Schizosaccharomyces pombe: one gene and its partner. The gene in region 2 interacts genetically with the main gene of each other region. Each region holds a gene or a part of one and is shown on either strand. Other genes may lie near its edges.

Region 1 (5,188 bases), on a different chromosome or scaffold from region 2:
GGAAAGACATTTTTTACCCAAAAATTTTTGATTTGGAACTGGTGTTCTTGGCAAGTATCTCTTCTAGATATACTGAATTTCTCTCTACTGCTTTGTGACTGCTTCTTGTGCTTCCGTCTAAGTAACAGCTGATGGAAAAGAAAGATAACGTAGCGGCTTGTATTGTGTTATAAAAATGTAAACAAAACCACCAGAATACTCCTTTTTCAAGTTTAACAAGATTTTTATCATGTCCGGTGTAAAGGCACGTGAATATAGAGCTTTGTGTTCTCGAAATAAGCACTTTCATAAATGATTGACCCAGTATGTTGTGATGTAAACCATAGCTTGGATACGGTCGGTGCGTTGTTTTTCCTCATGACCGGCAAGGATCTGTCGCTAACTCTACGAACCCGGAAGAAGCAATCTTGATTTTGCCCCAGATATCCGCTTCCTAGTCCGAGTTCCAATAATCTTATCCTATGCTGTATTGCTCTCTCTTCATACCACGGTGGATTGCTACATTTGTTTTTCCATAGTATATCGAATTGTATTCTCTTTATCCACGAAATAAAACTTTCAACAAAAAAAAAACAAAATAGTTTATTAAACATTGTTTTTATAAAATCTATATATTAAACACTGAACGACTGTAAATCCCATCAACAAACGCTTCATAGAATTTTTTTTGGTGGCATTAAAAAAGAATTAGTCCCCATGTTGGAGGGGTGAGAATGTAATTTTCAAATTTCATATTGTGGCAAAGTGATTTCGCTAGATACAACTGGAATATTTCCATATACGCATCACTCTTCAAGAAGATGCATATCTATCCAAGAATCGGTTAGACGAATGCAGAAAGGGTTGAAATAGGTTTAACAAGGTTTTGGCAATTTCTATCAATGTATACTACATTTTCTTCTTTCTTAAAGAAAGGCATACAAGGAAACCATCCAGCTCAATCGCTCTCTAATTCACTGCCCGCAGGAACCTAAATTGACAAAACAATAAGAAAAGAAAGGTGGAATGAGAAGTTGAAAAGCTAACGAAAAAAACCATGTTTTGAAAATTAACATCCTTTTTAAATAAAATAGTCATAATATACGTTTCAAGCTCATTAACGAAAGTGATCGTGTTTATACATGAGGAGTTGAATCCTCAAGTTGACTAAACTAGCACACGATCTTTCTCCCCAGGCCGTTGGTCCGTAGGATACTTATACCACTGTAACACCAGGATGGTAACCAGTAGGATAACTATTGGTAAGTTATCAACAATCCTAAAAACACTTTACTTACCAGGAGGTTATGTCTTCCATTTCTCCAAAAACGCTTTCGCGGTTGGTATCATTAACTTGGGAATCAAGTCGCTCAAAGGAATTAGTTTGAGACATGATATCAATTAAATGTTCCTTTTGGAATTTTTGAATATGTGAGTTTACTTGAGTAAACTCAAGCAAAAAACCGTCGTGGCCTTCGGCCGAAATAATTTTTTCCAAGGTAGCATTGGGAAAAGATTTGGCAATTTCAACTTGTTCGTCAAATGTGAAAAGACCATCGCTTTCAATACCGAGTACGAGTACGGGTAAAGACAAATCCTTCATGACTTCCTTAGGAGAGTCTGAACCGCGTCCACGAGTAATATCATGGGTGTCCAACTTTTTAGTAATCGAAATGTAACAATTAGCATCAAAGCGACTTACAAACTTCTTCGCTTGGTAACGTAAATACGATTGCGCAGAGAAGTAAGTATTAGCAGGACGTCTTAATAACGAACTCTGGTTAAGGGAAGAACTGTCTGTAGTCTGAGAGGCACCTAAAGAAGGTAAAGACGAGACAGAAGAGGCGGGGGAATTTAAAGCACTTTCAGAAGTAGGTGATGATCCATTGGATCGACAAGGTCGTTCACGGCGATTACGGTTTCCTTCGTTGTGAACGACCCAATGTGCATTACTGGGCGTGAGAGGAGTGGGTAAACGATCTGGATAGGGGTGACGAGACGCATCAGGAACAGTACGGGCAAAGCGACGTTCGAAAGAACATTTGGAGCGATATGTCAACAAGGCAGACATACGAGCAGCTCCAAGGCCACTTACAGGCTGATCGTCTATGCCGTAGTATCCATCATTAAACTTAGGGTCAGAATATATACTCTGGCGTTGCGCTTCAGACCAGCTAATGCACCACGCGGAATGACGAAGAGAGGTAGAAATGGGAACAATTGATCGCACAAATTCCTTATCAAATGCCCACTCCAAAACCAGCATACCACCCATGGAGCCACCTACTGCCATAGCAATTTGCTTTACACCCAATCTTTGTAAAATAAGTTTATGGATGTTTACATCATCACGTATGGTTGCTAAAGGAAATTCTGGCCCATAAACACTATGAGTCTCAGCGTTCCATGTAACAGGAGAGGCGCTTCCGTATGGGCTACCAAGAGAATTAAGGCATACGATAAAGAAATGTGATGGATCAAACGCACGACCAGGACCGAGTAAAGGACCCCACCAATCTCCAGCATCAGCAGAACCACTTAAAGCATGACAAAGAAGAAGACAATTGTTTCCTTCTTTATTCAAAGTACCCCAAGTCTTGAAGGCAACGGGAACATCGTAAAGGATGTCGCCACACTCCAACGTAAATTTGGGAACAATTGCAATTTTTTGATCTGAAATAAGCTGAACAAATTTATTTTCTTGCTGAGACGGATGACAGGAGTCAGTAAAGACAATTGATTCAATCGGAGATTGAGATTCCATTTTTATCAAACGATTGATAGTCAAATTTTGAAAAAATGAAAGAAACTAAATTTTTTGATAGAACTGAGTTCTCAAAGATGTAACTAACAAAACTCAATGGTAGGAGTTTTAAATAACCAAAAAAAAATTTTTTGACAAAAGCAGATTAGTGTAAGGTTTAACACAAAGAATGAATTACTTGCTTTTGTGTTGAGTAAGCAAATACAATTAGCTTCTCTTCTTTTAAGCGTGAAAAACAAAAAATCGAAAAACCAGAAAGTTTTTACGAAAAAAAACCAAAACTAACGGTATTGCGCAGCAATAAAAATTTTAGGTTTTTTAGTACCAGGAACGGTAAGCAACTATATTTGCTAATTTGTTAAATTCCAAAGTTACCCAAAAACACTTGAATACCAAGATTTTTTTTCCTATTCGGTTATGGTGAAAGGAGAAGTGGTAAGTTTATAAACTTTTATCTCAACCTAATTTAACGGTCTGCTTAGTATTTTGTTAGACAACATTAATTGAACGGTAATCAATAACCGAGTTTGGTATACGGGTACTTCATAATATGCTATTCAAACAACGAGACTTTTTTGTTATCTTATATAAATATAACAGTTTTAACCGTAATTTCAGTAAAATCATGTATGAAAAGGATGAATTTATTAAAAAAATTACAAAGGCTAATGTTTTATAAAAAGTCATTTCATGGATCAGGACTCTGCGAGATCAACTTTCGAAGATAAACGAATCGATAAGGAAAAGGTGTAATAATGTTAAATAAACAGGCGCTTGGTCTAAATAATGATTACTTGCTAGTTTCCTTAAATTTACAATTAATTGACTTGAAGCCAATTTTAAACAAGTGTTTTCAACGTTAAGTGTTTTAGTTTATCAATTTACAAATGAAGGAATACTCAAGACATATTTTATGACCCAGCCAAACCTGTAGTTCATCCTATTCAAAAAGGTTAAGGCAATTGAACAACTTGCGCCCTTAATACTAAGTAGCCGTAAGATATATCATACGATGTTCCATGAAAAAATATTTATATCCACGCAGAATTACAGTCATGTAAGTTTTTTAGGAAAGAGTAAAGGCACCTATTCTTTTAATACAATGTCTCCCAAATAGTCAAAATAATTATATAATTATAACAAGTATGCTTGACTTTTGTGATCTATCAGAAGTTGAGCAACAATGAGAGTCTATTGTAATCGATATGTCTATGCTTAATTGCTTGTAAAAGTAGACATTTTAAGTTGTTGACTGCTACTCACCAACTCGTACTAAAAAATTCGTCTGCTATGACTAAACGATTACTGTTGTCCAGTCCAGTCGGCAGTTAGCCAGAGCCAAACACAAATAATCCCACCGCATGCTTTGTAACTGCAAAAGCTCGGATTTCATTAAAAAATAGCTTAGAGTATAAACGGAGTGGAGTAATTTTTTTTTTGAATGAGTTATTTCTTCCAATATCATAAATCTTAACCCTTCTGCTTTTTGCATAGTTACGACATGGTAGTATACATCGTTTTATACACCTGCCTTGCGGGATTTATCCTTTTGTTCTTGGTAAGCAATATTAGCTAGCATGCTTCTCATTCATGTCCACCCGTCGGTAAATAAGGTCGTTGCGGGCAGAACCTGTTTAGTTTATCTGTACTTTCGATTTTTTGATGTGACATTAGACCAAATTTTTCCCCGAATATTCATTAACCCAAATATAGGTTTACTATTATTTAACTCATTCTCATTGCCCGAGGAAGCAACTGGAAGGAGAGGAAACATGTGTATTCATTGAGAACGGTCAAAAAAAAAGTTTGACTCTTGAGAAGTGGAGCACTTCTGATAATATACAAATAACGGTCATTGTTCCCGCGTATAATGAGTCTAAACGAATCGGAAACATGCTCCAAGAGACAGTCGATCACTTGGAAAAATATTATCGTTCCTCTTCTTCAGCAGGACAACGTCGGTGGGAGATCCTTATAGTTGACGACGAGAGTAAGGATACGACGGTGAATGCAGTGCTAGAGTTTTCTAACAAACTGGATTTGCGGGATCATTTACGAGTTTGCTCACTCAAACGGAATCGTGGTAAAGGCGGTGCGGTAACTTGGGGCATGTTGTACGCTAGAGGTCAATATGCAATTTTTGCTGATGCAGATGGTGCTTCTCAATTTTCTGATTTGGAGCTCCTTTTTAAAAATATGCCACCCGGACCAAGGGGTGGTGTCGTTGTTGGCTCGCGTGCTCATATGGTGAACACGGCTGCAGTAGTAAAGCGCTCATTTATTAGGAACTTTTTGATGCACTGTTTTCACAAACTTTTACAAATCTTAGGGATCAGGGAGATTGGCGATACGCAATGTGGCTTCAAGCTTTTTTCTCGTGAGGCATATCAAAGTATTTTCCCTCGTATGCATGTTGAAGGATGGATTTTTGATATTGAAGTATTA
Region 2 (3,886 bases):
ACTAGTATTTAAAAAAATCATACCTCCTTAAACTCTCTCGCAAAGCTCTTAATTCCGAGAGCAGCAGCTTTTCGATCTTCAAAAAGCGTAGCATGTTCCAACCGATCACAGAGCTTCGATATCGTTTCATCCGCCTGCTGAACTTTGGGAGGTGATAGAATCACATTGTAACTTTTATGAAAAATATCCATCAAGTGAGCGAATGCACGCAAAGGCAAACAGCAGGATTTCAGCTGTCAGAAGTTCCCCAATATAAAAGTAGTTAGCCCTCGCTTATAAGAAATTATTAGAAACTGCAATGCATTACGCTATGTTCAATGTAAACAAAGCATTTCTCCCGGACCACACGACAAACGTGAATTTACTTAAAAATCTGAGAACAACTAGGAAAAGCTAATTCTGAACCAATTTTATATATATTTTCGGACCCATGCCATTTAGGAGTGAATTAAAGACAATTGAATTACAGTAATACGTTCATAATTTCTTTTATTTAAGATAGATTTACACAAAAAATCTAAATAGTAACGTTGCTGTTATTCAAACGTATTTTCATTGCTTCGCAAGTTCATCTTTGTCGCTAATTCAGGCTTAAATTACTATAAATTATTTGGGATTACTTTATATGACTAGTCGAAAGGAGCAGCTGGATGCCTTTTTATCGAGAACTTTGTCAGAAACTATAGCTCACATTCCTTTGGAAAAGTTCGCACAATGTTTTCCTTCCATGAAAAAGGGGAAAGTTATAGCAGTCATCCATCAGCAGCTGATTGAGTTCTTTGAGAAATCGTGTAAACAAGAGTACGCAAACCTGATTAAAGAAAGAGATTTAAACAAAAAATTGGATATGCTAGATGAATGCATTCATGATGCTGAATTTCGCAAATTGCATGGAGAGTCAGAGGTTGACATTAGTAATAAACAGCCTCAAGAAATTCTAAAAGCACATTTGTATTCTCATAAAAGAGAACTTCTTGATAAGCTTAATCAGGATCTGTTGGATATTGACAAAGAAAATGAAGGGTTATCGACACAGATCGCGGCGGGAAGAAAAAGCAACTGAAGATTGTATATCCAGAATGCAATCGTTAATTCAAAAATTGGAGAAAACAGTTTATGGAATGAATGAAAAAAATTTAGCTAAAGAAGCACATGATACACTTAATGATCTACTTCCATACATCCAAAACCCTTCTTCTACATGGACTAATGCACTCAACGAACAAGGAAATATAGAACGTTGAAAGAAGTAAATTTCTAATCAGTTGCATAATTATATGCGAACAAAACTATATGATTTTTGGAACTCACAACAATAATAGTACTAATTAAGTAGCATTTTGACATCGTACTTAGCTTCAGACCAGTCTTGGTCTGTACCACATAACTAAGTTTGCAATCCCAACTTAAGAAAAACAAAATGGAAAAAGAAACACGCAATCTATGTTTCGTCACTTTTACTCAAAAACATTCCAACGCAAAAAATCTAATCGAATGAGTTAGTAACACTTTCTGGTTTACTTGGCATTTAATATTCATACGTGAGCTGCACCTGTACCCATCAGGATTTTTTTCAAGGTAAAGCTGATGATAATCTTCGGCATCCCACCATTTACCAGCTGGAAGAATTTGGGTTACAATTTTCTTATTAGGATAATGCTTTGCCTGCACCTCGTTCATGACTCTTTTAGCAATGGTTGCCTGTTCAGGATTTGTAGTAAAGATTGCGGAACGATACTGAGTACCAATGTCATTACCCTGCTGATTAGACGTAGTGGGATCGTGCATGGCAAAGAAAAATTCAATAATCTTATCGTAACTAGTCAATTTTTCATCGAATTCAATCTTTAAGGCTTCCGCATGATTAGTAGTATTAGTACAAACTTCTTTGTATGTAGGATCTGCAGTGATTCCTCCCGTATATCCTACAGAAGTTTTTAAAATGGCAGCTGCAGGGATGAACTTTCTAAGATACACTTCTTGGACTCCCCAAAAACAACCAGCAGCAATAATAGCAATCTGCATTTTTTAAAATATTTAAATGTTTGAAAATGTGTAATGGAATTGGTAAAGGCGGATAATTAATTTGTATAACGTCGAACAGTGCTTCATGTTTCAATTCATAAGCTTAGCGGCTAATTATTACTAATTGAGGTAATAGGGTAATAAGCTACTATATGTGAAATATCTCGCTAAACGCCTTTGAGCAAGTTGAGGTAGATATATATATACATTTTTTGCTATATTAAACTTACGGAATCTACGAAGAAGTATCTCCAACTCATCCATAACCTGTTCATTAAAGTAGCTATCAGTGCGATTAAGGGCTAACGATTTACAAGTTGTATCAGGATATGCGCACTGAGGGAATTAGATTGCTATAATAAAACAATATATCAAAATACAAACAAGAGTTCACTGTAAAAGGTAGTATTATATTGATTTTATAAAATTCGACTTCCTCTCTTATTTTTACACCAGTATCAAACACTAGAAATGACTAGCACTCAAGATTTGTTAGATTCAATATACGACAAATACTCCTTATGTAATTTTTCTTGTTGAGCGTATTCTTTTTGCAATTTTTTCTTACGGCTTTTGGGAACGTCTATTTCCGAGCCGTCTTCGCCGCGCATTTTTGTAGGTAAACCCGCTTCATCGAATGAAAGGTATTCTTTGAACATTTTAAACATCTCTGATGGTGATGTCTTTCCCTTCATAACACGTTCCACTTGCTTCTTTTCCTGTTCGGCTTTTGCTTGTGCTTTCTTAGCTTGCTTAGCTCTCTCCTCTTCAAGCTTTTGCTCCCTAGCAGCAATTAACTCTTCAGCATCAACAAGTTTGACAAGTGCAGAACCTTGGGGACGATCATTAAAACTAACACCAAGTGCAGCCATATCATAGTCTCTAAATATATCACAAGCTTTGAGAATCTCCTGAGAAGAAGCTTTAGCAATGCAAAGCTCCCTTACACGATCGCGGAATGAAGATACAGCCCTAATGTATGGCATGGCATCAGTGTTCTCCGAAGAACTTCCTTTCGATGATGACCATCCAACAGCGTTGGGGTGGCCGTTTTCATCGAGGCCAAAAATTTGGAGCATCGAAGTGATCCATGATGCAATTTGTCCAAGTAAACGTGAGCAAGGTTGTTGACCAACTTCACGAATATAAATGTTGGCTTGAGTAACCAAATTATCAATGTGTTGCATGACCAAAGGAGTATTAAAACTATCACAAAGAGCAAGATGGGTATTTTGCTGAGTTTGTTGGAATTTTTCAAGTAACTCAATTTCTAGCTTATCAAATTTTTCAGGTACGTGACCCCCATTAGCGCTTACACCTTCAGTTTCATTCATGAGAGCTCTAACAGTCCGGAAGAAATTCTCTAAGGCTTGTTCAATGTTTAAGACATATGCCAAAAGGGTCTCCTTAAAATCGAGTTGAGTGTTCCATTGTTGAAGTAAGAATGCCAAGCGTAATTGTCTAGGTGTAAACTTCTTTAAAATTTCTTTAATAGTGATAAAATTTTTAAGAGATTTAGACATTTTCTGGCCTTCAATATGCAAATGACCTGCATGAAAGAAATAATTCACCCATTGGGGACAGTCAAAATAGGCCTCACTTTGTGCCAACTCATTATCGTGATGAGGGAATGCCAAATCAATTCCACCAGAGTGAATATCAATATTGGAACCAAGTAGAGCGCTAGCCATGACAGAACATTCGATATGCCAACCAGGACGTCCTTTGGACCAAGGACTATCCCAAGAGGGTTCACCAGGTTTACTGGCCTTCCAAAGCGCAAAGTCTCCCGGACGCTTTTTACCGGTGAGAGCAGCCAAGGAACCCTCGCCCTCAGCAATTAACTCTCGATTTCCTTTAT

The links.
Region 1: mutations in mxr1 (region 2) and met6 impair growth when combined (synthetic growth defect), as found in Schizosaccharomyces pombe (one study listed by BioGRID).

The regions. Positions count from the first base shown.
Region 1 is NC_003423.3:4,088,084-4,093,271, forward strand, and holds met6 (homoserine O-acetyltransferase Met6), read right to left. Parts: upstream 3,166-5,188; 5' UTR 2,744-3,165; coding exon 1,278-2,743; exon of another isoform or gene 1,236-1,277; coding exon 1,196-1,235; 3' UTR 603-1,195; downstream 1-602. Other genes in the region: ilv5 (acetohydroxyacid reductoisomerase), read right to left, coding at 1-10; dolichyl-phosphate beta-glucosyltransferase Alg5, read left to right, coding at 4,245-4,301, 4,457-5,188. UniProt on the Schizosaccharomyces pombe protein: Commits homoserine to the methionine biosynthesis pathway by catalyzing its O-acetylation.
Region 2 is NC_003424.3:4,409,148-4,413,033, forward strand, and holds mxr1 (peptide methionine sulfoxide reductase), read right to left. Parts: upstream 2,080-3,886; 5' UTR 2,026-2,079; coding exon 1,542-2,025; intron 1,487-1,541; coding exon 1,458-1,486; 3' UTR 1,245-1,457; coding exon of another isoform or gene 1,045-1,244; 3' UTR 1,044-1,044; coding exon of another isoform or gene 626-1,043; 3' UTR 531-625; downstream 1-530. Other genes in the region: SPOM_SPAC29E6.06C (cysteine--tRNA(Cys) ligase Crs1), read right to left, coding at 2,508-3,886. UniProt on the Schizosaccharomyces pombe protein: Has an important function as a repair enzyme for proteins that have been inactivated by oxidation. Catalyzes the reversible oxidation-reduction of methionine sulfoxide in proteins to methionine.